4 linked regions of the Rhinolophus ferrumequinum genome follow. The protein of the gene in region 1 purifies or fractionates together with the protein of each later gene. This does not show direct contact. Links are inferred from orthologs where the notes say so. Each region holds a gene or a part of one and is shown in the gene's direction. Other genes may lie near its edges.

What was found.
Region 2: the proteins of RHOD (region 1) and DAAM1 purify together in Homo sapiens (affinity purification with mass spectrometry; 3 studies listed by BioGRID and IntAct, counting the BioPlex papers as one, with this or other methods). This does not show direct contact. The link is inferred for Rhinolophus ferrumequinum from reciprocal best matches to the Homo sapiens genes RHOD and DAAM1.
Region 3: the proteins of RHOD (region 1) and PLXNB2 purify together in Homo sapiens (affinity purification with mass spectrometry; 3 studies listed by BioGRID and IntAct, counting the BioPlex papers as one, with this or other methods). This does not show direct contact. The link is inferred for Rhinolophus ferrumequinum from reciprocal best matches to the Homo sapiens genes RHOD and PLXNB2.
Region 4: the proteins of RHOD (region 1) and DIAPH2 purify together in Homo sapiens (co-immunoprecipitation; 3 studies listed by BioGRID and IntAct, with this or other methods). This does not show direct contact. The link is inferred for Rhinolophus ferrumequinum from reciprocal best matches to the Homo sapiens genes RHOD and DIAPH2.

Annotation. Positions count from the first base shown.
Region 1 is NC_046294.1:5,069,866-5,077,775, reverse strand, and holds the start of RHOD (rho-related GTP-binding protein RhoD), read left to right. Parts: upstream 1-4,899; 5' UTR 4,900-4,992; coding exon 4,993-5,124; intron 5,125-7,910. UniProt on the Homo sapiens protein: Involved in endosome dynamics. May coordinate membrane transport with the function of the cytoskeleton. Involved in the internalization and trafficking of activated tyrosine kinase receptors such as PDGFRB.
Region 2 is NC_046289.1:35,264,323-35,271,871, reverse strand, and holds the start of DAAM1 (disheveled-associated activator of morphogenesis 1), read left to right. Parts: upstream 1-4,535; 5' UTR 4,536-4,648; intron 4,649-4,818; 5' UTR 4,819-4,879; coding exon 4,880-4,999; intron 5,000-7,549. UniProt on the Homo sapiens protein: Binds to disheveled (Dvl) and Rho, and mediates Wnt-induced Dvl-Rho complex formation. May play a role as a scaffolding protein to recruit Rho-GDP and Rho-GEF, thereby enhancing Rho-GTP formation. Can direct nucleation and elongation of new actin filaments.
Region 3 is NC_046293.1:397,486-405,377, forward strand, and holds the start of PLXNB2 (plexin-B2), read left to right. Parts: upstream 1-4,879; 5' UTR 4,880-4,986; intron 4,987-7,892. Other genes in the region: protein DENND6B, read left to right, coding at 93-158, 275-429, 495-593, 842-951, 1,069-1,171, 1,251-1,325, 1,406-1,528.
Region 4 is NC_046284.1:58,164,045-58,170,940, reverse strand, and holds the start of DIAPH2 (protein diaphanous homolog 2), read left to right. Parts: upstream 1-3,882; 5' UTR 3,883-4,235; coding exon 4,236-4,367; intron 4,368-6,896. UniProt on the Homo sapiens protein: Could be involved in oogenesis. Involved in the regulation of endosome dynamics.

The DNA of each region.
Region 1 (7,910 bases):
TTTTAAGGAGGGCACAGCTCATAAGGGCCCATGCAGGGATTAAACTAGCAACCTTGCTGTTATTAGCACCATGCTCTAACCAACTGAGCTAATCAGCTACCCCCAAAGGTCATCCTCTTAATCACTAGGCCAAACCCTCCCTCAATTCCTCAAGGGTGGGGCTGAGGGGCAGCAGAGGAGGCCCTCTGGATTCCAGGCTGCTTTGGTTTCCCCCTGCCCTCTCCTGGAAGGTCACAGTAAACATGGGAAGAAGAGAATCTGAGTGGGAATTCCCAGCATACCCCAGGAGGCCTGGCCACCCCAGGGCCTGACTGTGAACTGCTTCTGTGGAACCCCCTCCCCCAACACCAGGGAGACAGGCTGCTGCAGGGGCCTGTAAAGGTGGATAGGGAGGGCTTCCCAGAGGAGATGGAAACATGAGCTCTGGCTTTGCAGGGCGGGTGGACCGTACACATGGAAGAGAGAGAGGGGCCTCCAAGCAGGGGAACTGCCAGCACAAGCGTTGCGTGTGTCTAGGGAGCCACACAGCCGGCTGAGTGTGGAGAGACCGGATAGGGCTGAGCTGGGACGGCTTTGTGTCCAGGCTGAGGCTGAAGGTCCTTGTCCAGCTGGCAATGGGGAGCCACTGAGGGGTCCTGGGCAGGAGCAAGTGAGAAGAAGGGAGGCAGGAAGGGGAACACTCTAAGCAGCTTTGGAAATGACAAGGGGGGACATAAGGCTGTTTTAGGTCAGTGAGGGGCAGTCCAAGCTGCCCTCAGGCTTTAGGTTCATTCAGCACGGTCCAAATTGAGCTATTTCCATCTCTTTTGCCCCTTCCTTCCCATCCCTCATTTCTCCCCTCCTCCAACCCCAGGCCCATGGGCCTGCTTCAAGGATCCCAGGCCCCCTGTCTGGGAGCCTTCGGGGACAGGCCGAGCTCCACCCAAAAGGACAGGTGTGGAGGTTGCTGATTTGGCCAGCGGCATTGGCCAGGCCAGGCCTGCATGTGGGAGGAGCCGGATCAGCTACTTTATCATCCACACTTGACAGCAGATTCAGACTTCACTTCCTCTTTCTGCCTGTGGTTGTCTATGCCTGTAGACACCGGAAGTAACAAACCAACAAGCTAAATAAACACTGAGACTGGGCCACTGGGTTCCCTCGCTCTCCACCCACTCCCGCCCCATAATCAATCTTCCCATCCTACCCAGAAGGATCAAGGATGGTGAGGCAGGGAGAGGAGGCAGGGGCAGGAGGCCTGCGTCCCCAGGCTTGCGCTCCAATCAAATTGCTCTGGGGAGCCTCAGAAAGAAACTTGAGAAGAGTTTCTTCTGGGTTCTGCCTGCCATAGACCTGGGCCTGCTGCTTACTCGCTGTGAGACAAGTGCCTTCCCCCCCGAGAGCCTCTGTTTCCCCATTTGAAGAAGGAGCATTTGGACAAGAAGGCCTGTAAAGGCCCCTCGCATCTCTTACTTTTGGGGATTCTGGGTATATGGGTTCTAGAGCCCCAATGCCTGGGTTAGAACCCCAGCTCTTCCACTTATCAGCTGTGGGATCTTGGGCAAACTATCTGTCCTCTTTGGGGCTCAGTTTCCTCAATTGTCAAAGAGGATAAGAATTATACACACTTCATAGGATGGAATAAATGACACACGCCACGTGTCTGGCCCACACTAGGTGCTCAGTATATGTGAAGTCAAGGCTTTGGGTGGCGTTCCGGCTCTTGGGATCCACCAGATTGGGATGAAAGGGAAGGAGGGAGGGTAGGGAGGCAAGAGGAGCAAAAGGCCTGTGTCCGCAGCCAAAGCATCCAAAGGGCAGGACTAGACTCTGAAGTTCCACCCCCTGGCACCCACTTTCCTTCTGCTTCAGCCGTTCATAAACACCCCACACCCGGAGCCAGAACCCCAAGCAGAGCGGGCTGCCCTTGGTGTAGGGAGCATAGCAGCCACACGGGGGCAGCAGAGACTCGGTTGGAACAGCAGGGGACTCCCGGGCCTCAGGGAGGATGGGGGTGGGGTGTCAGAAAATGGGGCAGAGGGTCCCAGGGCTGGGGAGCCTTGGAGCAGATGGAGGCTGGAGGGTGCTCACCTGTCTGCTGACCCCGCACTCAGGTCATGGGCTGTATTCATTCATCCATGCAATGGTTTATTCTTTTATTCATTTCTTCAGTTTGTTGTTATTTTCAGTCAGCCCATCTTCCTTCCTTCTTTCCTTCCTCTCTCCCCTGCTCCCTCATTTTCCTTCCTTTCCCACTTGTCCAGCAAGGCATTCAATTGGACATAACATCCTGAGGCACAGGTGGCCAACCTGGCCACCTCTGCTGTTCTAGGGTCTTTGGGGTAGTGACCCGCTGGGCAGGGTTTCTGAAGGACTCTGGGCTTGGGACCAGTGGGATCTCCAAGGGCTGAGTCACCCACAGGCTGGCGGCAAACTGTAGCCACAGAAAACAGTACAACAGTAAACAGTATCCTAGCCAGGCTGACTGTGACCTGGGCCCCTCCCCACTCCAAAATAAACACCAGGAAAACAGTGCCATCCAGGGCCCAGCCATGTCTGGGATTTGGGTAAATTCTTTGCCAACCAAGATGGATTTTTTCCGGGCCCCAATCTATGCTCTATCTATGCTCATGCTTCTGCAAGAGGTATGAGGCTGGGGTTCAACATCAGTAGATCTGAGGTCTGAATGGACTAAAGTATATGAGGTGTGATGTCAGGAGAGAGCCCAGCTTTGTGACCAGACCTGTGCTCAAATTAGGATTCTGCCTCTTACTAGCTGTGGATCTTAGACAAGAACTTAACCTCTCTGGGCCTCAGGCTTCTCCTCTGTGAAATGGGACTAACAATCCCCACCTACTAGGGGACAGTAGGTGCTGCACAGTAGGTCCTGCTGCACAGGATTAACGATCCATTCATGGACACTGTTATTATTACGAAATGTTCAGTGAAACTGTAAAGCATGACACACATCAAGGGTGTCATTAGGTGATTATCCCCATAGCAAACAAGGCCAAATGCCTCTGCCTGACTCTCCACCCCCACCTGCCTCCCAGCCTTGCCACCCAAAGCCTGATGATAGCAACAGTGGCAAGGACAGAAGATGATGAGTCTGACAGCTGATCGTTGGGGGCTGGGGCCCTCCCCACCACTCCTTGGGGCGGAGATCCCTGCTCAGTGGTGACACACCCAGTCCTGTTCTAAGTCACTGCCCAGCCCTGTGGCAGTTTCGGGGAGGAAGGGGCACCTGAAGGGTGGGGAGGTCCTGGGATGTTCGTTCCAACCAGGTGAGTCTTCATTCAGCCTGATGACTGGGGTCCTGGGTGAGCGTAGAAGAGGAGTCAGGGGTCTGAGCTCTGCCTCTGCCGTTGGGGCAGTGACTCCTGCCCTGGCTGCCTCTTTGGGCCACAGTGAAGTTCAAAGGGGGCTGAGGGGGTTTTTTCAGGTGTCCAGCTTTGAACTCTATGTAGATGATATCATGACCTGCAAGGGGGTGGGGGAATGTGAAACCCAAAGACTTCTGCCCCCTTTCTTTGAGCTTCAACAAAAACACTCAGTCCAGGACTGGGGGAGGCCCCTGTGCTCATTTTTAAAAGATTTCAATTCTGGCTGCTACCAGGGGTGGGAGGTCAGGCGACAGTGAGTTTCCACTTCATTCTGTATTAATTCCTGGCATCCGAAGTGCTCCATTATCCAGGCCTGTTAACTCTCAGCTTCACCCCCGGCACTGGCTCCCCAACCCACTTTGCCCTCTGTCCTGGGGAAGGACTGTGACCCCAAAGCACCCCCGTCTCGTCTCCATACCTTGCGTGTGCTGTTCCCTCAGCTTGGAACACCCTTCCCCTTCCCCGTCTGTGTCTCACTTTTTCTTCAAGAGTAGCCCCTCTTCTCAGAAGGGTTTCCTGACACGGCCTCCCCCAAACCTGAGTGAGGGGCCGCTCTTCCCTGTAGCCGTCCTGTGTCATCTCTGTTGTAGCTCTCATCGTGCCGATACCCGCCCATCTCCCATTCTAGGCACGGGCTTCTCAAAGTAGGGACTTTTTCTTAAATGGTTCAGGGTCCCCCAGGCTCTTGGGCACAGAGGAACCATCAGTGTTGGTTAAATAATAAGGATCACTCATACGTGGCATCAAGCATGTACCAAACCTTGATCTAAGCAGTTTATCGATGGAAGGTTCCATTGCTTTCCCCAGATCATGCTCCAGCCAGAAGTGAGACAGGTGGTCACCCACCTGCAGCGAAACTTCCTGGTGCTGGCTGTGGGAAGGCAGGCCAGGCCTGGCAGTGCCATGTCCACGTCACCCCATTCCTACCCGGCCGAAACACCTGGAGGGAGGAAGGTGGTGTCCTGGGTCTCCAGAGCCCTGGGGAAAATGCATGTTCTTTCTTTCTCTTCCTTCCTTCCTTCCCTCCTTACTTGCTCCCTTCTTTGGTACCTCCTACCCTCCCTCCCTCTCTTTCTTTATCAAAAGTCACCAGCTCCTGCTCCACTGGGCACCTGGAACCCAGTCCCTGATCCCACCAAACTGGTAGGCTAACATGGCTGACCCCCACTTCCCTCCTTCCAGGGGAAATGGGCCAGGTGCCCCCTCTTTCCCTGTCCACACCCCTACTCGCACTGTCGCTGTCCAGCTACTTGTCTCCTCCCCATCAGACCAGAGTGCCCTCCTGAGGACCGGATGCTGAGTCTGGGTCCCCCGCTTCTGTGGTCTCAGTGCACGCGCACAGTAGGTGCTCAAGAAATGTTTCTTTAGTGGCCAAACAGGACGGGAGGGGAAGGGCCCGAGCCCTGCCGCCACGTCTCTGCCGCCCCACGCGCGGGGATCCCGGCTCGGGCCTCTCACCTGGGCTCGGCGGCCACCCGCCCGCCCCCTGCCCGCCCCCAGCCCGGCTCGCACTTCCTCCCGCCGCCCCGCCCCTTCCACATTCCTGCCCCGCCGGGCCTGCCCTGCACCCGGCCTTCGCCGCAGCCCGGGCGGACGCCGCTGCGCGCCCGGCCCCTCGGCCGGCCCCGCGATGAAGGCGGCCCAGGCTGCGGGTGAGGAGGCGCCGCCAGGCGTGCGGTCCGTCAAGGTGGTCCTGGTGGGCGACGGCGGCTGCGGGAAGACGTCGTTGCTGATGGTCTTCGCCGAAGGGGCCTTCCCCGAGGTGAGTGCCGCAGCCCTCCGGGCACGGCGCCCACTGCTGTGCACGCATCCCCGCCTGGTCACGGTTACGCACGGGCGCCCGGTGTGCCCCGTCTGTGCCGGAGCTGCCCAGGATGTGTGCCCACGCTGGCCTCCCGAGACGTCTCCCAGCAGAGCGTGGGGTCAGTGGCAGTTCTCGCTCTGCCATCGGGAGTGAGGGCCTCAATGATATCATCTTGGAGAAAGGCACCTACCTGGGAGAGGTGTCACAGGGACTGACTTTGGCAACCTGGGTAGTGGCAGGTCCTAAGGGAACACTTGGTGGCACAGCATGGCTAAAAGGGACTGACAACTTTGGAAACTGCCTGGGTTCAAGTGATGGCTTTGCTACTTACAGCTGTGTACCCTTGGGCAAGTCTCCTACCCTCTCTGTGCCTGTGTCCTTGACTGCTTAATAGGAATAATGATGGTGCCCACTTCCCAGTGTCGCGGTGAAGAGTGAGTTAATACAGGTCAGATACTCAGCTCAGAACCTGTAACAGGAAGGACTCACTTGGGAAAGAAACATCATTTCTTCTCCCCCAGATTTGCCCCTGACACGGACATCCCATGGGCTCTGCCTTGGAGGGTAAGGGAAACAGACTCAAGTCAGACAGCTGATTGGTACCTTGGCATTCCTCTAACAAACTGTGTGGCCCTCAGGAACTTGCTTAACCTCTCTGAGCCTCCATTTCCTGACACCTTTTGGGGTGGAGAGAGCCAGGGTGCTGGTGAGAATTAAAGTCAGGCTGACAGATGACCCCGCGTGGTACCTGGCACATCCTTGGTGCTCAGGGCATGTTGACCACCGGTCCTTCACTAGCATGTTTACTGACTGTTCAGGCGGACTCACCAGGTACCAGAATGGGCTGGACCCACCCACCCCATGCCCCCTCTCAGCCTAGTTCTCCTGGGAGACCATGGATTTGCTTCCAACACTTCTTCTCCCTCCTACCTGTGCCAGCATCCTACAAACCCCTGGGGTTGTGCAGGCGTTGGGGAGTCTGATGAGGGAGGCAGGAGAGGCCAACCCTCGTAACAGTCTCGGAACTTTCTTTCCCCGGTGACAGCGTTGAGCTGAGTCTTTTGTGGTTTATGGAGCTGATGTCATCTCCTTTGGCCAGTCACATTTTTTTTAAGTTGTGGGGGATGTGTTTCCGGGCCCCCAGATGCTGCCCTTGGGAACCCAACAATTATGAAACACTGGGAAGAGCACCACGGAGGGGCCAGGCCAGTGGGGCCCAGCAGAGGGGCTGGGAGGGGTGGTGCCTCACCACCAGTGTCCTGGGCTCTGAGACAGCCTTGATGGTGAGACCCTGGTTTCAAAGAGGTTACAGTGTAGAAGTGGGCATTGCCACGCAGTTGACGAAATGTGGGTGTTGGGACACACTGGAGCTGGCCAGGGAAAGGGAAGGCATGCTTGTCACCAAGAAGGTGGGCGCAGCTTTGTCTGGGCTCCTCCCTGTTTGGGGATCCTGAATTCCCAGGCACCCCTCTGCCTCCAGGCACAAGAGAGGCCTCTTCATTTAAAAGAAATACAAGGTCCTAGAGCTGGAAAGGCCTTCATTTCAGATAGGATAACCGAGGCGAGAGACAGAGTCTCCCGTTGGGGCACAGGGCCCAGCAGTGGCAGCGCTGGTCTAGAACCCAGGTCTTCCTCCCCCGATAAGACACCTTCCAAAGCCCCCAGTGCTCGGCCTGCTGGACCCAGCCTTCTCCTGCTCCTGTCCCTGGACTCCCCTCCTGGCAGCCCACCAAGCCCAGGGAGCCAGGAGCAAGGAGACTTGGGGCCCCATCTCCCTAGGGCTTATGCCTGCAGCAAAGAGCAGAGAACAGGCTGGGATTTGCAGGGGCCTCAACAACCTTTGGCTTTGGCCCAAATTCAGGTTCAGGGCAGGGGGAGCAGAGTGGAAAGAGCTCCTGAGGCGGGAGGACTCCTGGTTGACATTTGGGGCAGCAACCATTCCCACAGGGCCAAAGCCTAGGGGCCCCACAGCAGGGGAGGTGGGAGGGGACAGGGAGTGCCAGCCCTGCCTTCCCGAACCAGCTGAGTCTTCCCGCTCCACACAGGGACTCCCATGGGTGTGCTGCCCAGGGAAGCCCCGCTCTCCTCTCTTGAGCTACGTCCCCCATCCTGGAATGATCCAACTGTGTGTCTGTGAGCCCCATGAGGGCAAACCCAAGCCTGAGTCATTTCTACCCTGGTCCAGCCTAGGCTCGGCCCTGCCTTTCTGGCTGAGAACAGCTCAACAGATAAGGTTAAGGGCTTTTTGGCTCTATGGGCAGAGAGTGACCATGCCTAGGGGTTCAAAGAACACAACAGAAGGTGTAGACGGATAGAGTCTCCAGGATAACATTCCAGAGTAGGGTTGTGACAATTACAAGCCAGAGGAGCAGCCCAACCCCACACCCTGAAATCGAGGGGGGGAGCGGGGGGAACTTTCCTGGTCACTCCCACCAGTGGCTAGAGTTGGTGACCTCACGAGAGGCAAGTGTCTGGGGACAGAACCTGGCCTCTGGAACCAGAAAGACCTGGCTTTGTCTTTAGCCATCTGTCCGTTACCTTGGACAAGTCACTTCCCCTCTCTGGGCCTCAGTGTCCTCATCAGGAAAATGGGTTGGTACCAACTTTCAAAGGTTGCAGGGATCAGAGATGGTGCAGGTAAAGGGCCATGGAGAATGTGGGTGATGGTGTCATCTCCACAGGCATTTGCAAAGTAGTGACATGTGTCTCCCAAGAGCTTAGTGGCAGGCTGCCCTGCACCTCAG
Region 2 (7,549 bases), on another chromosome or scaffold:
CTGAGTGATCATATCTGAGCCATACGATCTTGTAATCTTTGCTGCAGATGAGTGGTTTCAAAAAATTTTATGTGTCAGAATCAGCTGGAGGACTTGTTAAAACACAGACTGTGGAACCCAGCCCTAAAGTTTCTTTTCCTGTAGGTCTATGGGTGGGGCTTAAGCATTTGCATTTCTAACAAGTTCTCAGGTGATACGGAGGCTACTGGGGTCCCCCGTTTAAGAACCACGGCATATGAAGATGATTAAGTTAGAGAAAGTCACTCTAAGACAGGGCAATCAGCTTCTGTCAAAAATTTGTTTAAATTTAGTTTTCAATCACAGTTGACATACAATATTATGTTAGTGTCAGGTGTACAACATAGTGATTAGATATTTATATACTTCACGAAGTGATCACCCTGATAAGTCTAGTACCCATCTCACACCATACAGAGAGACAGAGACACCGAGATGGAGGACTATTAGAGTAATGAGCTAGCTAAAAGGTTCAAAACCCACCACTGTTTAGGTTCTGAGAGCTGGTCTGGTACCTGTTCTTAGATGGAGCCTTGGTTGCTCAATCCTTTGAATAAATCCTACTTCTTTCTTTCCTTCCTTCCTTCCTTCCTTCCTTCCTTCCTTCCTTCCTTCCTTCCTTCCTTCCTTCCTTCCTTCCTTCCTTTGCATAAACTGGCCATAGAAAGTTTGTGTTGCCTGCCCACAAAATAACTTGAACTAAGACGTAAGTGTATCAGTTATATGTTCCACCATGAAAACGAAAACCATTCTGAGTATTTAAAACAGATATGATATAGTATAGGGAATTGGTCTCATGGGTGATAGAAGGTCTGAGAAGACAAACATGCAGTGAGAGATTGGCAACAGCAGGAAGCTACCTCCACCCTTAGGCTGGAGGGAAAAAGGGAGAAGGTGGTGTTAACAAAGGCTGGGGTGATCCAAAAGATGCTGGAATCACGACAGACCAGTCCAACAGAGGAAATACTGCTGATGCTGCCAGAAACATCACCCAGTGCAACTCTGAGGAGGTGGAGAAATAACCTGGCTTCTCCCTCCTTCCAGCCTCCAATCTCCCAGCAGAACTCTCCATGCTGAGAAGCTTGGAGAAGACAGCCTATGATGCTGAAGACAGCTTGGGGCACTGCGGAAGGACAAGGTGTAAATCTGAAAACAAGCCAAGAACCAGCACTGTTCAATTTGGATTTCTCAGTCGTTTCTTCAAAGTACATTTTGCCTACTTACAAATTAGTGAGATAATATGTGCGTGCCGTATAATTTCTCATAGTTTCTTGTTAAGAATAAGATTTTTTAAATTCAAATAGGTCTTTATTAACTTCTTCCATAATTAGGGGTGACATTTCTGAGATAATCTTTAGGGAAAAATTGCAAATGATAACAAGAATTAGCATTTGTATACTACCTTTCAATGTGAAATGTGTTTTTACAAGTATAATTTAATCCTCAAAATCCTCATGAAATAGGTTTTATTATTAACCCCATTTTTAAAATAAGGAAACTGAGGCTCAGAGAGAATGAGCAGTCACATTGCTCAAAAGTGGTAAAATGGCATGACCCCAAACCTGGTCTCAAGCATATAACCTCAATTGTTGCAAAACACCAAGTTATTGTGTGAAAACACATGCCAGGCTACAAACATAAAATTCTTTCTTTGTTGATGTCTCATTTCTTCCCTTATCTAAAACCCAACAGCTAGAGTAAAACCTTGTAATCAGAACTGAGAGATTATTTTGAAAGATCAGCAAAATACTCCATGGTGCCTTTCCCCTTCTCTACCTGCAGGTCAACTAAATCTGTTCTCAGTGGTCCCACAGGTTCCTAATTAATAGGCAGTGATTATGGGACAAGACGAGGCCTTTCGTATAAGCTCATTTGAGGATAGCAGCAGTCATTTAAAAAGAAAAGAAGAAAAATCCTAAAGAAATCCTTTGAGAATATTATAGATTAAGCTAGACAGATCGGTATTTTTGATAGCTTATGAGACTACTTAGTCACCTAGAAAGAACTAAATACAAACACACAACATAAGTGTGTGAGTGTGTGTGTGTGTGTGTGTGTGTGTGTGTGTGTGAAAGAGAGAGAGAGAGAGAGAGAGAGAGAGAGAGAACGAGAGAGAGAGATCCCTTCTGTCTCCACAGAAATTAAGCTTCTTCTGGATCCAGACTGCATTTCTGATGCTGAAGAGCCATCTTTGTTTCCCCTGGTTACCAGTGAAACAGTGTGCAGGGATCTGTTCAAATCCATCACACTTATAGCAAAATGCTTCCAAACATAATGCCTTGCCTTCAATATCTATTATCTATATTTATATATCTATTTAATAGGGAGGAAGCTCACACATGCACATCCACACATTCCTGTGCTTCTACTCTATTGTGTATGATGTCCTTTATAGATGGAAATGAGCTATGTAACATGACATATCCCTATAATATTAATTGCTACAGAGATTAGATTTTTTTTTTAAAGGCAGATGCCATCCTCTCCTTTGTTGCTGAAGACCCAAGAGAACTTGCCGTAAGCTGATTTGTCCTGTAAAGTTAGTCCTCAGAGTGTGCCTCAATAATATGCTTTTATCTGTAAGGACGAGCCCTGCTTTATGGAGAATCTCCACACCCAATTTGCCTCAATAAATTTCAGGCTCACTGATTATATTCCCATCTAAAGCTTTACACAGTTATAAAACTAGGAGAGCTTTTAGAATCATCCCAGGTCAAGTTACTTTCTGAATATTTTCCCACAATGAACTGCAATACATTAAGCTTACCCATTAGCTAGAATATCACTGATTGTACTCTTGATCTGACGGCCAATGGAACATTTGTGTTGTCTGGGTTCTGTTTAAGATAATATTTGGAATGGATGGGATAGCTCAGAACAGGAGAGCAACGTTCAAAGTTATCTTCTTTCAGTGGGGAAAAATGTGTCTAGTATATGAGGAATGAGCTTGTTAAATGAAAATCAGAATTCAACACTAAAACACCTCTCTCAGCAGAACAAAGCATTTTCGTCTCCCCTGAGATCCTCAACTAGTTCCATGAATATTTTTCTCTTGAACCCAAGATATTGTTCCACAATGAGATGAGAAAATAAGAGTGATAAGAAAAACTTCCACCAACAATTAGATGGAGAGTTCTTTAAAATTTTTAATTGTGAACTTTCTTTTCACAAGATGTAGTCTTCCAGAGATTTGCTAATAGAAATAGGGGTGTGAGCTGATCCTTCTACGTGATTGCAACATCAAATGCCATTATAATGTACTCTATCTTTGCCACTGGAATAATTATGTAGATGCATTGATTTTTTTTCATTTAAAAAAACAGCTTAAGATTTGCTCTGAATGATCATTTTTTCATAATATTTGGTATTCATTGAACAATGAAAAATGCCACGGAAACATTTTATTATTATTATTATTATTATTTAATATTATTGTATTAAAAATGAAATCTTCCTGAAGGTTCAGAATTCTGATACACACTTTTTGCTTACCTTTAAACATTTAGGTGTATTAAGATCATGGCAATTCTTGAATAGCACGCTGTTGTTTGGTTTAGGTCATTTAAAAAATATTTGAAGAGAAAGCTATGGGAAATGAGGCGAGAGTGTTAGGGATTTAGCAGTACATGTGTACGTATATATGTCATTAAAACTTTAGGAAAAGATGTCTTCCTGGGAGTTGAGAGCCATCAGAGCGGGAAGTCCACTGCAGGAAAGAACAAAAGCATGGCTGCGCTACAGTATTATCTCTGCAGCGGCAGAAGCAGCAGCAGCAGCAGCAGGCTCCCTGAGGGAGGGCTGCGGCGATTGTCTTGTCTATTCTGCATTTTTATTAGTGACAGCCTCCGTTATTCTGTCAGCTCAGCCAACTAAGCTGTTCCCCGCGAACTCCGTTAAATGGCAGAAGGAAAGAGAACACAGAAAGGTGAATTGTACGAAGTGGGACACGCGGGGATTTCTCTCCTGCGGGGTCGGCTTCGCCTCATCCTCTGGGGCTTGGGGGAATTCCAGGACCGCATTTAACCCAGAAACCCGTGCGTCCTATTAATTAGTTTACGCGTAGGGAAGACAGTGAGAGACTTAATCGTCTCTTTTCAGCTGAGGCCAACAGAGCAGGGTTGGTCAGAGGTGCCTGGCCGGTGCGCACTAGCCCCGGACGCTTCGGGGCCCTCAGAGCTCTCACAGGGACGAGTGGAGGTCAAGTCAAATAGCACCACGGCAGGGTTCCCCCAGTCTCTAGCCCGCGCAGCCCGCAGCCTAGCTTCTGCACCGCCACCGCTAACACTGCAAGGCTGCAAGGAGGGGAGGGCCGGGGTGTCCCGGCGGAGGCGGGACTAGGGGCGGGGACGAAGATGCCGAGGAATGCGTCGGGAATTGTAGTTGTGCTAACCTCGGTAGCGTGGCTATCCAGGCTCTGCTTGCGGTATTGGGACTACAACTACCAGGAGTCCATGGGCCAGGCTGGGGAGTCCATGCGCACTGGGCGCTACATTGTATCCTATCAGCGGAGGAGAGGGTGATGTCACCTGCGAGTTGGTAACCTACGAGCGGCTGTGAAGGAAACTGTTTAACCGGGTCCCATTGTACCCAGAGCGCAGAGCCGCCTTTCCAGCATGCAGGGGTTGCTCAGGTAAGGGGGATGCGCCGCCTCGCCCGCCGCACTCATTCATTAAGTGGCACCAAGCGGTGGAGCGGGGGTGGGCGCGCTTCTTCGGGCCGGGCTCTGGGTTTGCGGCGCGCCCTCCCGCTGCTTCCCTGGAGCTCCCGGGCCAGTAGGTAAATATTAAACCCGTCCTTCAGGTTAGGTCTGGGTGCGAACAGGACCTAGACAGCTCCGGGCTGCCAAGCTGGATTTGGAAAAATGGCTGCAAGCACGGCGCAAAGCACTGCGAGCCCGGAGGAAGGCGCCCCAGAGGATGAGGGTCCCTCCCTCCTTTCTTTCAGAGGCGCTCGGATGCCAAGAGAGCAGGCAGGGTACCAGGTACAGCCGTCTTGCTGCAGGCACCCCGGGGATGGGGCGCTGGGGGTCGTGGCCTCGGCTGCGGGTTGCGTGCATTGCTGCTGTCGGGAGCTGCTGGCAGAGGAGGAATCCTGAGGCAGGCTTGGTGGATTCGGAGGTGGCGACCAGGAAGGAGGGACTCTGAGCCGAACGTCCACCATCCCTGACACCCTCACTTCACGCTTCATTCGAAAGGGGTGGGGTGACTGTAATTCAGGCAAAGTTGTAAGCTGGAGGTTTCAAAAGGGGCAGGAGGGGAAACCCGCGTTGCAGAAGGAGCAAGGGGTGTTGGCGCACAGCGGCGAGGGGAGGCTGCGCCTCCTGCGGACCGGGTTCGAGGAGCCTCAGAGCTCTTTTGCCCCCAGTCCCTCCGGGGAGGGCGCATCTTGGTCCCCCCTGCACTGATTGCTCCCTCGACAAAGAGCACCTGAGCTGAGGCGAAGCGTCTGCCCGGAGCCCTGGGTTGGGAGGTGGTAAAGCGGTGGGGTGTCAAATAATCTAATGATAAGGCTCGCTTGTGGGGCAGGCAGCCTGGGTAATCGGGTTTTCCCAGCTGATGCGGAAAATCCAGCTTCTTGTGATCCACTTGCCCTCCGATTGGAGACGTGCACGAGGCCCGAGAACTCTATAAAGCCCTCTGGATTGCCTTCCCCTGCCCCTCTTGTTCGCTCGCCTACTCATTCATCAAACCCTGCTAATGGCTCTGCTCTCAAGTTGCTCACAGCCTGGGTTTGGGGTGTTCTGCCTCTTGCCCTCATAAAATATTTTAGTGGGCCCAGGAATAGCTACCTACATTCCCTTTCTCCCAACCCCGCCCTCTTGATTCCCATCTCCACCCCCAGGTGAGCATCAACAGTAAATGCCTCCCGTGACAGTTTTGCTCCCATTAAGCTGGTAGTTTCTTGAGGCTCGAGAAGGACTTAGTGAATTGAAGCGGAGTTTGCCTGCAAGATGAATCCCGTTGCCATGGCGACTCCTGCCGTCGGAATCTTAACTGCTCTCACTGCTGTTTCAATTCGATGTGGCTCTGCTGGCAGCTGGGAGGGCGTGGCCTGTGGGTGTGGTCAAGTGCTTGCTTTGGGCCCAGCTGCTTTCTCCTCTGCGTCCCTTTCACAGCCCGGGGGCTCTGTCCATTCTCTTGTAAATATCTTGGACACAATTCTTCGCTCCTTTCTCTCTGGAGTTCCCATACCTGGTCTCTCCAGCTCCCTTCCCAGATATAATTATTGGGCGCCTTTTTCCTGAGGGAAACTCTGAAAATTACAATTGAAAGGTATCTTTCCCCTTTCAGGCTAGCTGCATCATTTTCCTAGTAACATGTATTATAGTGTTGGAAGCAGCTTTCTCAAGGAGGGAGCTCTCCTGCTTGAAGACAAATCTCTGGCCACCAGTAAAGATCCTCAATCTGCCATAGGTGCAACTCACTGAAGTCTTTAGGGACAATAACTGAAATTGAATTCTGGAAGTCACTGCCATCCCTTGTGGTTCTGATAAAATCTAAAAGGCTAGCCCTACACTGGCTCTGTCATCACTGGCTATTCCACTGTTAGGTTAACCCTTTACCTCTGGGGACCTTGGTCATTGGTAAAGTGGGGAGAGTGTACAGAGAGTTTCCTAAAGTTGATTCTAGGTATAAAATCTTGTGACTCTAAGAAGGACTTGGTCATTGTCTTTTATTTTTCTCAAAGAAATCTGAACACTAGAGTTTAAACCCAGCTTCGGACACCGAGCCTTACTGTACGGAAAAATAATGTGGCTCTTCATGGCAGTCCTGCAAAGTGGGCAAGGTAGCCATGTTACTATTTGTAATATTATCTCTAATACTCCTGCTATTAACCCAGGATCTGGACTGTTATTTATCCTTTTATCTTAGAATTGTTTAGGTTTTGCCTTTTTACAGATTCTTGATGAATGCAGTTATTTGTGATGTAATTGCATTAAGTATAATTAAATTTCACAAATATTTTGTTTTTCTTCTGCTCTCATTTCATACTAAGGTTGATTATCACAGATAGTGCCATTAAGGTGTGTGTGTGTGTGTGTATCTGTGAGCATCTCTCTATGTGTGCAGGTAAATAAATGCTGCAGATGCTGTGTGCCAAGTGGTTGACAGTCCTCATCTCTAAGAAGCAGGTGGTTACATCCCCATGAGGAAGTGGTATTAGAAGTTGTCACTCACTCTTTTTTTGGGGGAGGGTGGGTTCTGAGAAGTCTGCATTTATTATAGGTCTGGATCCAGAATCACTCTTTATTTTTGTCCTAGAGCTTATCATTAACTGAAAAAACAATCTCATTTAATTACCTGTTTACTTCCTGTCTCCCTATAATTCTGACGCCAATTCCAATGTATGGGTTTTTCCCCCACTCCCCTAAGATCTTTGAGAGCAGTGTCTTTGTCTTGTCTATCTCTATCTCTCCAGTATTTAAAGCAGTTTTTGGTCCCGTAGGTATTTAATAAATATTTGTTGAATCAATATAAAGTAGTAGAGCCATGATTGGAGATCCAAGAGCTGTATTATTGCCACTGGTTGT
Region 3 (7,892 bases), on another chromosome or scaffold:
GTCACAGCGGGCGTGGGGCGGGGCAGTCGGCGGCCCAGGCGGGTCTTGGGTCTGAGCCTCCGGGCACTGACCCGGGCCTGGCTGTGTCGTAGGGGGTCTTCCTAAACAGGTCAAGCTGAAAAAGCCCTCGAGGCTGAAGACCCTCGATACCAAACCAGGTGTGTGCCCCTCGGGCTGAACACCTCCTCTCCTTCCAGGACCCCCGTGGGGCGGGGGCGGGGGCGGAGAAGGAGGGAGGCCCCTGGGACAGGTCCGCAGCTCTGCCTCCCGCCAGGCCTCTACACCGCGTATACGGCCCACCTGCACCGCGACAAGGCGCTGCTCAAACGGCTGCTCGGTGGCCTGCAGAAGAAGCGGCCGCCAGGTGCACTGGCCGCACTGCTGCGGACGCACCTGCTGGAGCTCACGCAGAGCTTCGTCATCCCACTGGTGAGGCCCAGGGCAGGCAGGGTGGGGCAGGGCTGCGGCCCCCGCTCACTGCCCTCCCCCCGCAGGAGCACTACATGGCCAGTCTCATGCCCCTGCAGAAGAGCGTCACGCCCTGGAAGGTGGGCTCCCGGTCCACGTGGCCGTCGGGCAGGGGCTGGACGCAGGCGGGGAGTGGAAGGGTTCCTGTCCCGATTCCAGAGGAGGGAGGTCGTGGGTGTGCAGGCGCCCCTAGAGCGCCAGGTTTCCCCACCCGTTCCGGACGTCCTTCCAGGCCAGAGACGTGGGGACTCGAAGTTCCCTCTGGAATCTGTCCCAGGCAGGGTGGGAGCCGAGGAGTATGACTGGGAGGGTCCTGGCTGGCGGGGCGGGGCTAGCGAGGCTGTGCCCGCTCCTCACTCAGCCTCTGTCTCAGGCCCCTCCCCAGATCCGCCCCTTCCACCAGGACGACTTCCTGCGCAGTCTGGATCATGCGGGGCCCCAGCTCACCTGCATCCTCAAGGGTGACTGGCTGGGCCTCTACAGGTGGGTGGACAGCAGGCAGGGCCCCGAGGCTCCTGCTGCTGGTGGGTGCAGGAAGCCTGTGCCCACCCCTTGGCTCAATGGATCAGCCCCACAGCCGCTGCCTCTCGTCACCCACAGGCGGTTTTTCAAGTCCCCCCATTTTGACGGCTGGTACCGGCAGCGGCGCAAAGAGATGGCGCATAAACTGGAGGCCCTGCACCTGGAGGCCATCTGTGAGGCGGTAAGGGGCGGGGGCGTGGTCACAGGCCCAGCGCTGGGCCAGGGCCTAGGTGATGGGTGACCACGTCTTTTCATGACAGGACATTGAGACCTGGATGAAGGACAAGTCCGAGGTGGAGGTTGTGGACCTGATCCTGAAACTTCGGGAGAAGCTGGTGAGACGCCTCCTGGCCCTGCCCAGCCCAGGCCAGAGGACATGGAAGTTGCCTGCCCCTGACCACCACTGCCCCTGCAGGTGCGGGCACAGGGCCACCAGCTCCCCGTGAAGGAGGAGACACTGCATCGGGCCCAGCTGAACATCGAGATGGTCATCGGCTCCCTGCCCAAGGACCTGCAGGCCGTCCTGTGCCCCCGCTAGGACAGGCCGGGGGGCAGGGTCCAGGGCCTGGGTTTCCCTGGGGGCCTGGGTCTGGCCAAGCTTCCTTCTCCCCAGTGAGGGGCAGCCCCAGCCAAGCATGAGCTCCCCAAGGCAAGCTCCCTGCTGCTTCCTGGCCTTGCCCCACTTCCCAGCACCACTACTGTGCTGCAGTAAAAGTGGCATTTGGAGCCACAGCCTAGCTCCTGACTTGCTGGCAGATCCTGTGTTGGCTGGAGTCTCACCTCCCCCTGGGCCCCACCTGCCCTCCACAGGGCTGCAGGCTCGGGGGCGGGGCTGGCTGTGAGCCCTTGCTGATCTGGGCCTGGGCCCACCGCCCCCTCCAGGCACCCATCTGCCCCAACTCCCTGGGGCCCCGCGCGGTGCATTTGATGTCCTTTAGTCCCACCAGGCTGCCCAGGCCAGGACTGGAGGAGGCAGCTGACAAGCAGACGCCTCTCCTCACCCAGCCCATCCACCGGCTTGCCCTGGGCTGGGGCTGCCTCACCTACGGCGGCCGCTAGGGGGCTGTGTGATGGCCTGGCGACGCGCCAACCCTCCAGAGCATTGTCCCGTGCAGCCCACTGGGCACCATCTCGGCTCCTACTGCTCCACCTTGCTTCTCAGCTGACAGGCACTCGAGTTACCCCGTTATGGGCATCCACCCTGACGTGCAGCCTGAGCAACTTTGGACTCTAGCCCAACCCCCCCAGCCCCCAATCTCAGAGGTGATGTACTCCCCAGCAATGCTGTGTTGCCACCAGTGCTGTCAACGACAGCCCAGGGTGACAGCAGTGCCAGCCAGTGGAAGGGTGGGTGTGAGGTGTGACCCCGAGCTGTGGGCCTGCTGTGAGTCTCCCAGCCTCCAGCCTTCAGACCCCTCATCATATGGGGGGTGTATCCTGTAGCTGTCTGACCCGTGAGGCCTGCGCAGGGTCCTGACACAGGGAGTGGGCGTGGGTGGGGGGCTGTCCCTTCTCTTCCCCACTCAGCCCATACCCTGGATGCTGTGCTCACTGTTGCCTCCACTCCTCCCCTGCTGGGCAGCAGCCGGTGCAGGTTGTCTGGGCTGACCACGGCCTAGGACAGCCTGTCACTGTCCCCCTTCTAAGGACAGCTGAGCCCAGCTTGGTGCAGGGTCCCAGGACATGACAGCAACTAAACAGAACACAGCAGAGGCAGGCAGAGGTAGTGGGTCCGTTTTTGGAGAAAGAACAAGCGGGAGGCCCTGGAGTGAGAAAGGCTCCACATTGGCCCCCAATGCCACTGGGTGGCCTGCCCCTAGCTGTCTGTCTGGAGGGGTGGTCCCCCCCAGGGTGTCATCTCCAAGGGGGTCTGTGACAACACCAGCACCTTCCTTGTGACTGGCGGGCTCTCTGACCTCCACAAGAAGGGGCTGAGTGGACAGACAGTGGAGACCTTCTTACCGTAACCCCTAACCCTAACTCCACTGGCCAGACGCATTACCAGGCCTGGGCCCCCCTCACCATTACAACCCCACCCGTGAAGGGTACGCCCCAAACCTCACTCCAGCTTGTGCTTGCCATACTGGTTATCTCACTTGCCTTTCTAAGGGCTCCTGTGTGTGAAGGAGGGCTGGGGGCGGCACAGGATTCAGGGCAGGGGCTGCAAGGTGGCCTCCACGAAGCCACCATCAGTACAGGAAGGCACAACCAGATTCCCTTGGTCCTGGCGTCCTGCCCCGAGGACCAATGGGGGCAGAGGTTTGGGGGAGGGACACCGGGCAGGGTGGGCACCGCTGTCCAGGGTAGGATCCCAGGCTGAAGTGTAGAGGTGGGAGGAAGCCTGTCCCCTGGAGTGCCTGGAACCGTGGAGCTGTCTTCCTCATGCCTGACCCCCTGAGCAGACAGAAGCGCCTGGGGGCTACTCCATCCTCTCTGCCCAGAGGCTGCTTGTTCTTTCCCAGGATCAGGTCACCTCTGACTTGGCTGAGCTCTGACCCCCGCCACAGGGGTTTGGAGGAAAACAGGCAGATGGGTTAAAGGAAGCAGACCTGCCCCCAACAGAGCCCCGCGGGCAGGGGGCCTGGAGAGGCAGGGACCAGTTGGTCCAAGAGGGTGCTGTGCTTAGCCCCCTGGGGCCGCCGGAGATTGGAGCGGCTGTGTCAAAGCCTGGTTGAGTGGCCCCGGGTGGGGTGGAGCTGGGGCTGGGGTGGAGGTGGCAGTCGCTGCTCCAGGGGACAGGAAGGACAGTTCACCCCCAAGCTTCCTGCGTGCACTCTATTTAAAGATTCCCTTCTAGTGGGGGATAGTGGCCTTCCCACATTTTGGTATTAAAATGCCCTATAAAGCACAATGCTTGTGTTTTAACTTCCTTTTTGATGAAAAGTTGGCATCCCTGTCAGACACTGGTAATTTTTGGGTCCCTTGCGGTGGGGACTGGGTGGGTCATGTGGATGTGGTTCAGGGCTGAAGGGGTGAAGGTCTGGCCTGGCTGGTTGGGGTGGGAGGGCTGCTGAGACGCTGACATAAGTAAGTGACCTGGTTCTTGAGCATTGGGGGTAGGTCTCAGGGTCAGGGGAGCGGAGTGCAAGGAGGGGACAAGTCCCAGTGTGTGGGTATAAGTTGGGGTTTGGGGTCTCCAAGCGCTGTGCTGCTCACCACACCCGGTTCACTGACCACACTAAGGGCCAGTGGGAGCACGTGACGTCCCCACCTCTTAAGTCCAGGAGGCCCCAGGGCAAACTGGGAGTTGGAGTGGCAGAAGTGGAAGAAGCTCAAGTCCAGAGCTGGCACCCCGGGAAAGGCTCAGGCTCACCCCTACCTCCAGGGCTAGGTGGTCTTGGGTGCGGGTCCCCAGAGGCCCACAGGTGGGGGAGGAAAAGGGGAAAAGCAGCACAGCTGGGGGGCCACGGATGAGTTGTTAGGACACTCGCAGGTGTCTTTCCCCTAGGAGGTTGGGGGTGCTGAGGTTTAAGGGAAGGGGTCAAGGCCCAGCAGCCCCCCACCCCCGGAAAAGGCAGGGGTGTGGCCGGCCTGTTCCCAGTCGGAGGGTGGGGGTACCGGTGCCCGACCCGCCTCGGAGAGAACCGGCTCCGGGGTCCTCTGTCTGGAGCTGCGCAATCCCCTGGTGCTAAGGTCTGGGCTCCCCTGTGGCCCGGGGCGCTCCCGGGATGGTAACCAGGCCGAGGGGCGATCGCTGCCCGGCGCAGATGTGGGTCGGAGCCGGACTGAAACTCCTCCGCGCTGCGGCGCACCCACTGCGGGCGGGGGCGCTGGGGCACGCGGGGAGCGCCCAGTCGGCCCCGCCCTCCCTCCCCCTTCTCCCGCCCCTCCCCCTCCTCCCCTCCCCCTCCCCTTCGGGGGCGGGGCCACTCTCTGCTCCCGCGCTCCGGCCCCTCCTCGGCCACACAAAGGCCCGTCTCCATGGCAGCCGCACGGGCCGCAGCGCAGCGCCGATCGAGGCTCCGGCGCCATCGAATCTTGGCGGCTGACTTGCAGGTACCGAAACCGGGGTACAGGGCCCCCGGAGTGGCCACGCTGGTCGGGGGGCTTCGCCGTTAGCTCCACTCTGCCCCTGCCTTCCGCACTCGGGGTGCGGGGATCCGGGTAGCTGCCGCTCCGCGGAGGGTGACTCGGGCCTCGGCAGCCGTTTGTGTGTCCTTTCGTCAGGGCCGGGCCGCTCCTGCCCCACGCCCTTTTTAGTGATCCTCGAGGACTGCGGCGCCGGGGGCGGAGGGTGAGCGGGCCTAGCCCAGCCGAGGGTCCCCAGCAGGGCGCTGCGCCCTCTCCCGCCGCCCAGGTCCCTCTGGAGCCTCTCGCTCCCCTTCTGGTTCCCGACCCTCCCTCCTAGCCTATCCATGCTCCCCATCTCTCCAGCCACCGAGATCCGTCCCAGGGCGAAGATAGTCCCTGTTGTGCAAGAGCTGCCGGCACTCACCCCGCCCATCCACCCAGCCTCGGTTCTAGGGTGGCCAAGCCCGGCTTTCCCCAGGGGGCTGGACCTTCGGTCAGGCCTTGGCAGCCCCCGCACCGCCTGGGGTTCCTTGTGAGGAGGGCCTGGGCTGCGCCTGGAGGGCTGGAAGGTAGTGCAGGGCGCCGGCTTGGGACTAGGGGAGCCAGCACCAGTTCCTGGAAAATCCTGGTGTCCTGGGGTCTGCTTGTTCCCAGGGTCGCTGGGACAGGTGCTGTTGTAGTTGGTTGGTGTGGTGTTTGGGTAGACACCTTGGGCCCTGCCCCTCACCCTCTGGCCTTGCACCCTGGCATGCCTCTTCCTGCAGGAAGCCTTGGATGGGCCTTTCCAGCCCCTCTGCTCAAACTGCTTGGCTGATTTGCTGGGGGTGGTGAGAGGGGGGTCTCTGAGCTCAACAGCCCCAGAGCTTCCTGCTATGTCGTTGGGCTTCTCTTCCCAGCAACTTGGAAAAGGAAGGGGTCTGTCCCCCTGTGCTCACCATGGCCTGTGGTGGGGGTCATCACTGGGGTGGGCTGGGCCCCAAAGCTGGTGGGATGTTCTGGGGTCTGAGGGGCTCTCTGGACCCTTGCCTGCCCTGGGGTGCTCCCTGTTTCATGTCTAACTTCAACCCCTGCTACCTGCCCACCTGGGGCTGCACCCTGTGGAGTGAGAGAGCAAGGCAGCCCAGAAGTGAAGACTGTGAGCCTGGCATGGAGGGCAGAGCCAGGGGATAGTCTGAGTTGGGCAGCTGGTGAGAGGGGCCGCCCCCTTCTGCCCTGAGGTGAAGGGCCGCATGAACCCCGCTGGGCCTGCTGGGGTTTTTTTGTGGCCTGACAGCTTTCAGGAATTCCCAGAGAAGACTGAGCAGAAGCAGGTAGGCTTGTACCTCCTCCCTCCTCTTGCCATACCTTCTGGGGGCCCCCTCAGTCTGAGGGGAGGCCTGAGGCCTGGCCAGGAGTTCCTTGCCCCAGGAAGGGAGGGAAGTCACTGAGAAAAACAGGGCTTGGAATGTAGTCCCCCTCCCCCGCCGGCCGCCTGCCAAGAAGGAATTATTTTGGATTATCCAGCCGTGTCCAGCCACCCAAGAGGGGAGGCTGCAGCCTGGGAGAGGGATCCACTTCCGGAACCGTGGGTTGAGAGCGTCCCAGAAGGGAGGGATGGGCAAGTCCGGGCAGCCCTACTCTCCTCCCCCGAGACCGGTCGGGGGCGGGGTTGGAGGGGATGTGTCACCCTGGGGTTGCAATACGGCCCCAGCAGGCCCTGCTGAGCGAGACTGGGGAAGGCTGAGGCTGTGGGGTAGGAAGGGCCCTGGGCCTATCCATGGGGTCCAGCTGGAGGCCACCCTCCAGAGCCAGGCTCAGGGACACACCTTGGGTGCCTTACTCATACCTGATAAGGTGTGCGGAGCGGGTGGGGTGTGACTGAAGCTGCTTAGGATGGGGCATTGGGCTGAAGCTCAGGCTTGCCCCCTGACTGGCCCACTGACCAGTAGCTGACACACAGCCTCCCTCTAAGTACCTCTGATAACCCAGCTCTCACCCTGCTCTCGCCCCCCCCACCCCGCCATCCCCCCACCCCCCTACCCCCCACCCCCGTCCATACAGCCCTTTTAGCTGGTCCCACAGTTGAGGGGCTGGGGCCCTTAGTTGGTCCCTGGGAAGGACCATGGGGGGCGCTGCCTCTGCCAGGTGGACTCCCTGGGTCCTTGCTGTGTGTGCCCGCAGCCATGAGCCCGGCACCCCTGTGGGGACGCCACTGAAGAGTTCTGAGCTGGCAGCTGGGTCTGGGATGGAGTGCAGGAAGCCCAGGAGCCTGGCCCCAGCCCAGGGGAGTGAGGGGAAGAGATTGGATTGGAAGGCACTGGGGTGGGCTGGCAGCCTGGGGAGGGGTCCATATGGCACATAGCTCCTCTCCCCCTAGGAGGGCTAGGTTGCAGGTACTTGCGCCATCCCAGGACCAAGGCCATTCTGGGGACATCATGGTATCCTGTTCCCTAACTTGTGCCCACATCCTGGGGCCAGACCGATGCCCCACCCTGGGACGTTAGGTGTGGCAGGGGATACCTGGTGGGGAGAGGCTGTGGGTCCCAGTGTCCCCAAGTGGCCCCTTGGCTGATTTGGGCAGGGCCCCACTGAGGCGCCAGGCCCTCTGCCATCTGTGAACAGGAAGTCCTTACGCCTGTCATACCACAGTCCTTCTTGCTGCAGCAACAACAGCCCCCCCCCACACCCGCCGTAGCCTCTTGGGTGGGGAATAAGCTTGTGTTCCCTGTTGAGGAGCCCAGTAAAGCTGGGGGCCAGCGGTGGAAAGAAGGAGGTGAGCTAGGGAGAGGTCCCCCACCTGCACTCCTTCTGAGGTGGAGGCAGGTTCACTAGTTGGGGGTGGGGGCTGGGTAGAGTCCCTCTGCCAGAGGCTAATGGCTACTTGTGTTTGGGGTGGGGGTTCTCACTAATTG
Region 4 (6,896 bases), on another chromosome or scaffold:
TATGGTCTCTGCTCCCAGGCTAACTTCAAACCGGTAAGCTTGATGTGTATGTGTTGTATATATTGGGGTTCTGTGAAGAGTTTTATTTAGGAAAAAAACCTGTACTACGGGAAGAATAGTTTGAAAATCAGTGTTCGATGTTATTTTGCATAGATCAGAGTTCCTCAAAATACTTCTTTATTTTGTAACCTCCCTGCTTAAGATCCTTATCAGTTACTATTCCATCTCACATTCAAATGTGTTCACAGAGTGGGAAAACACTATGGGGATAACCATGTTTCCTACTATTATTCAACATCTATGTTCTCACCATTCTAGTTAAGCCTCACTGGCCCCTCAATGTTAGTGGTCAGTATTGTTTCCAGGCTATTCCATATGTTGTCTTTTCCTTACTTCCTTTCTTTCCTTTGCCTATTCAAGTCTGATTTCTGCTTCATAGTTCGGCAGCTCAAGCTTTACCTCGTTCTTGAAAACTTTATTTATTCTAGGCCTAACTAATCTGACCCTTTTACCATATTATGTTGAATTATAGTCAGTACCTCTGAGTTAGGCAGCTAATTTTTTTCTTACTCTTTCTCACATTTGTCTTCTTGTTTGTTTTCTCAACTAGATTTTATTCCTATTGATGGTAGAGATTTTATATTTCACAGTTTGTCCCACTACAAGTGTTCATGTACCGTGAATAGCGCATTAGCGATCAGTAAATAGAAGAATGAGGTCAAAATAAGGTGGAAGTTCAGCTGGTTCATGTATGAATTTTATTTTTTTTTAGTTAATCTTATTGGGTAACAGTGTGTATTTTCCAGGACCCATCAGCTCCAAGTCAAGTCGTTGTTCCTTGAATCTAGTTTTGGAGGGTGCAGCTCAGCTCCAAGTCCAGTCGCCGTTTTCAGTCTTTAGTTGCAGGGGGCGCAGCCCACCATCCCATGCGGGAATTGAACCGGCAACCCTGTTGTTCAGAGCTCGAACTCTAACCAACTGAGCCATCTGGCCGCCCATCATGTATGAATTTTCTTAGCATTTTCAGTTCTGAAGTGATCAGGAGCAAGCTTTCTCACAATTAAGGAGAAGTCCTAACAATATATGAAGACTTTAAGAAAAAGAAGCAGAAGGGAGACACAGAAAGCCAGAGGGAGACTATAAGGATCGTCAGGAACCTCTGAGGAAATGAATGGGTCTAAGGTCAGTTTGAAGAAAGCTAGAGGCTAGCAGCCTTTTATCTTTCTGTTCTCCCAGAGCCAGTGTTTTAATGTTGACCCGGGTGCTACATTCCTTAGAGGCCAGAGGGAGAGACCAAAAGGTCAGTGGGTCTAACATAGACTTTTGATATCCCAGCTGATGGTGGTAGCCTCCTTCTTTCTTCAGCATCAGAGAAAAGATGGCCCTCCATCCTCCAGCTTATTTGTGTGTCCCAGGAAGGTAATCATAAAGGAATGCAGGTGCAGTCAGATCAGCTCTAGGACTGCATCCCTGAGGCGCCTGGTTCATAATCAGTGGACAAAGTGTCCTTGTGGGAGAGGAGTAGCTCCTTCCAGCGTTAACTTCCAGGACAGGCCCATGACCCAGATGCCTGAGGGAAGGGTATTTGTTTGTTAGTAATTACTGTTTGCATTAACTGGGGCAAAATGCTGAAAAACAAACAACAAGAATTAAGACAGGGGCTGTGATAACCACAATAAAGTCCAAAGTAAGCCATATTAGGGCCAGAGTTTTTCACTTTTTGCAGTAAAGATTATGCATGTTTTACATGGACCTCTATTTTGATTTTAAATGTAGCTTTGCCTGGTCTGAGGATGGTGAAACCCAACCTTACATTCAAAATGATGTCAATCCATTTTTAAGTCTATTTACATACTCCAAACAGAAGTCTTTGTGTTACAATGTCTTCCCCCCTTTTAAAACCACACCAATGAGACCTACAAGTAGGGACCTTCATGATCAGGAAGCTGCTTATCTGTTCTGCTTCTTCTCTGGCCAACAGCAGGCTCTCTCCTCACCCCCCAATTTCTTAACCAGAGGGTCTCTGTACATGCTATCCTTATGTTGTTTGCCTGGCATGCTCTTCACCCTCCTTCGGTACCTTGTAATTACTCAATACATTTTTGCTTAATATCCTTCCCAATAGCCAGAAAGTTCCATCAGAGCAAAGTATATCTGTCTTGTTTACTATTATATCCACAATACCTAGCATAGTACCTAACACTCAGTAGGCTGTCAACACATACTGACTTGAAGTAGACTCTTAAGCCAATAGATTGAGGTTCTAAAGGGCAGAAACGGTGTCAGCTTCATCCTTCTACCCTACCACCCTCTGTACGTCACTTGGTATACTCTAAGGAGCTAAATAAATGTGTACTGAGCAGATTATTGAGCAACATTTGAGCTTTGAGAACCCTCAGCCATGGCCTACACCCACATCTGTCAAACAGGAATTACGTGAAAGCATTGCATACAGGTCATGTCTTTCTGCAGCATCCATTTTTATGCAACTTTTCAGGAGAGGAGACATTTAAGTAATTTAAATAGTGTGTGCATGCACGCACATGTATAGTGAGTGGAAAAAAAACTATACATCAAATTTTAAGTCAAAGAGGAACTTCAACAAAACAAATTTACCTTAGGGCTCCTTGCCCACCCTGCCTGGGAGCGTGTATTCCCTCTGCTGTCCCTGGGTAGTTTCCCAGCTGCATGATTAAAAAGTTAATGACAAAGCTGGGATTAAAACTGTTTTGATATCTAATGTGCTTTTCACTCTACTGTCCAAGTGAATTGCCTCATCACGCCTATAGCACGGTCAAATTTACCCTAATGATGTTTATGAACATCAATAAATATGTTCATAAACAAATTAGATTCAGCAGAGCTGAATTTAGGTTGAAGGGCAGAAGGGCAAAAGGAGTCATAGCCCGAAGATACATGAGTAAGAGGTATATGGACATGTTTAGAGACTTGGTTTCTGAATTTATACTTCAGGTAGTTTCCCTTGCTCTCATTCTATGATGGTGGTGCATTCAAATCACCCCTCTAAATGTTCTCAATGTGGGCATTATTTTTAAAGCGCCCCGTTTAAAAAGATGGCAGAAATCTTGTGCGGGCCTCTTCCTGACAAGTCGAGGACTAGAGAGTAACAATACGGGCAGTGCCCTGCTGCAGCTGTACAAAAAAACACCTTGCATTTGTCTAAAGAGTTATATTTTAAACAAAGTTTTGACACACATGATCTTATTCACTCCCCACAACGATTTAAAGTAGTTCCGGGAGCTGAAAACAGCAGTCAGTCCAATTGTGAGCTCTCCACAGGTGCTCTGCTTGAAGAGCCTCACTCCCACCCCCTTGGGGATTTAAGCGGTGGGTGCCTGCTACTTCTGCTGCCGAGCAGCGTGGGAATCAAGGAACAGCCGTATTTCTTTGGCCGCAACGCCATCATGGCAACAGAAAGCACCCACTCTTTCCACTGTGAACCGTACAGTCTGTCTAGGCAATTAATCAGCGCTCCCCGTGGTGCTTTTCCTATGGGATGCCAGTTGCCTTGCCAATCAACCCCACCCACAGAGCGCAGCAGGGCCACACCCCCAGCATGGCCTCTGCCAGGGAAGGTGCTCTGGCCTATGCTAGTGGAGGCTGAGACTCAGGTACACCGGCCCCTGAAACGCACACGTGAATCCTCCCGGGCCTCAGTTTCGCCACCTCTAAAATGGGCTACACCCCCTCTCTCTGGACGAGTTCCCTGCCATTTCACGCTAGGCCCCTAGGAAGTGAAATCAGTGCTTAACCGCAGCTTAAAGTCCTCTCGTTGGGCTTCGGGTCCTGCGCCGGGCATGCTCAGTAGCTGGGGCCGACTTGGCCTGGGGAGTAGGAAGCAGCTCTGTGCGCCCAGGCGGCTGACTGCGGGCACTTTGATGAATCACGGGTGTTGAGGCCCTCTTAAAGAGATAGGCACCAACTTTCTCCACCCTAAACACCGCCCTGAGGGCGGCGGCGGCGGTCGTGATAATTGCAGCTGCTCTCAGGGGCAAGGCTTGTCCCAGCGCCGAGTAGAGGCAACGGCGTGTGGCGTCTGGGGTGCCGGGGAGCCCGGACTCCCGGGGGCCTGAAATCGGCAGCTCCCTAGACAGACACTCCCCCTCAGGAAGAGGTGCTGCCGAATCAGCGCGGGGCAGCGGGACCGCCCCGAGGGGCTTCCTCAGTGGAGGAGAGGTGGGGTTACAGGGCACAGGTGACAGGGCCGGAGAAAGATGGAGCAGCCCGGGGCGGCGGCGTCGGGAGCGGGAGGCGGCAGCGAGGAACCCGGTGGGGGCCGGAGCAACAAGCGGAGCGCGGCGAACCGGGCCGCCACCGAAGAGGAAACGAAAAACAAGCCCAAATTGGTGAGTGCTCCCGCAGCCCCCGCCGGCCTTGGGGACAACGAGAGCCCCGGGATCCTCCTGTCGTTGAACACGGGGGGACCCGGGGCCCCCTCCCAAGGGTCACCGCGACCTCGTTGTGCAACTCGGGGAGCCGCTGAAGGAGCGGCCACGCCGAGGCGCGGAGACGGCGTGGGGGCGGAAGAGCACCCGCTTCTCTACCTAACCGGGTTCTTACTCTTGTCAGCCCGGGAGGCAGTGCGGGGTGGAGAAAGGCCCCACCCCAACTTGGGGAGACCCGGAGAACTGGATGGGGTCTTGTTTGCCTAACTTGTGGGCACCAGCCTTCTTTCCGCGATTCCATTCCCCTCCCACCCCTGTCAGTTGCTGGGTTTTGCGTCTTGAGCGCTTAGGGTCCGGACAGGGAAACCTCTCTTCTTTGCAGCCCAAGTACTTGGGACCCTACCCACAGACGGGGAAAAAAAAAATCCTATAAAACAAAAAGACACACAATGTAGGCCCCCAGTCTTTCTACTTTAACAGAAATCTAAGGGAGAGGCGCCTACGTGCGGTTTTTTTTTTTTTCTTTCCCCTCCTCGCTTCTCCATGTGCTCTCGCAAGAAACATTTCTTTGGAAGAGTGGGGGGAGCGTGGGAGTTGGAGGCTGGGTGAGGTACCACCAACTGTCGGGTAATAGGCAGAGGCGTTCAGTACTTGCACTTAGTTGATTAAGAGTGCTCAGAAGCAATCGGCTGACTACAAGTCTCACCGTCCTGAGAGTGTGAACGGGTAATAGCAGTCTATTTCCTGCCACTGACTTAATGTTCTGAGGAATGAAATCTATGGGGCCCGCTATTGGATTGGGAAATACTGGAGTTTCCTAAACTCATCAGTTAAAAGGGTTCCTCTTTTTTTGGTAAAAACCTTCTAAATCGGGTGGCATGAGGGGAAACGGTTTTCATGTACAAATTCAGCAGATATTTGACTCTGAACGTTCTTGGTCTAGCTCTGAAGCACAAGCCACATGTTGCTCATCTAGTTTTCAGTTTTAACCAGCGACTTGATTATAATTAGGAAGGAGACGGTGGTTTTTAACTCAAGCCGTTTCTTACGGCATCTGTCCATTTGGCGTGTACCTGTTATACTTCCCGCTCTTGCCTCCTATTTGCCTTTAAATTATGGACCGTCCATATTCGAAAAAAGTGGTCAAAGCATTATATCTCGTTTAAGGAAATATGCAGCCTTCCATTATGTGGGAAGGGACCTGGTTGGGTATAATAAAATGACAAGTTTAAAGTCTTATCAGTTCCACCCTAACTAGAAGCAAATTTTGGATATACTTACTTGATGTGTCCTACTACGGCAGTATTTACAAGTGAAGAAACTGAGTCACAAGGTCTTTGTGAATTGTCTATGCTGGGTTTAATGGGTGCCCTCCACCATCATGAAACAGAAAAGTTTTGTGAGTGTATCATCAAAGTTTATTTAAAAATTCTGATGTTGTGATTTTAAAATTTATCAGTTTGTGTTAAACGATTGATCATATTTCCTTTCCTTTTTTTTTTGACCCAGCACAAAACTGTGGTTTAAACCGTGATTAAAAGTTTAAGCAAAAATAATAGTGAACTGGTAGTTTCCACCAATAGTTTGGTACATCCAGCAAGAACCTTTCACTTAGGAAGTGTGTTCTCAAGAGAAAGCACTTATCTCTGTCTGTTAGTAAATAAGACCTTGATTATAATCTTCCCTTTCCTTTGGTCATTTGTCCTGTTTCGTCTTTTATGTTTTACTTGCTTTGACAAGGTAACTAGATAGTTATGAGCTGGTATCAGTTTCGGTTCCTAGCTAACTTGTGTTTGGTGTTGAACATAGCATGATATAGTAGAACGAGTATTTGGATTCAAGAGTTTGTTACTATCAGTGGGGAATTCTTTGTTTGCTCAAATACAACTTTTGAGCCTTACGGGATTTTATGAGCAGAAGTGTCAGAGTTAATAAAAGCAGATTTAGGAAGACGGTTCAGCACTCTTTAGACATTTCAGCACTTTTTAAGGCAAGCATGTTGACCAAACAACCAGACCTAGTAAACTTTCTTTTTTTTTAATAAATGCCTTACTCCCTATTTTGACTTGTCTTATTGAAAAACTCAGCATTTTCTTCTAAGGTCTTTTAGAGAAGACTTCATCTGGGATTCGTAACTTAAAATATTGCTAGTAAGATAAAGCTTTACCTAGATTAAATTTTATTATTTTGAGTATTATGTTATTGATCAGTATAATAGTCATTAATTGTGTGCACGTGCACACGTGTGGGTTTATAAAAGAGCCATACGGTAATAGAAATTATTTGTGTAACAGGTGATTGTGGGGCATAGGGGTTCTTAAACTCCTGAAATTGTATGAAAAAAATTGAGTGTATATAGGTATGTGCATTTTTCTGGATCCCATAGCTTTCGTCAGTGTTTTCAAAGGCTCTGTCACCTATAGAAGCATAAGAACTATTGGGTTACCAGAGAGAGAGAGAGAGAGAGAGAGAGAGAGAGTGTAAAGGAAA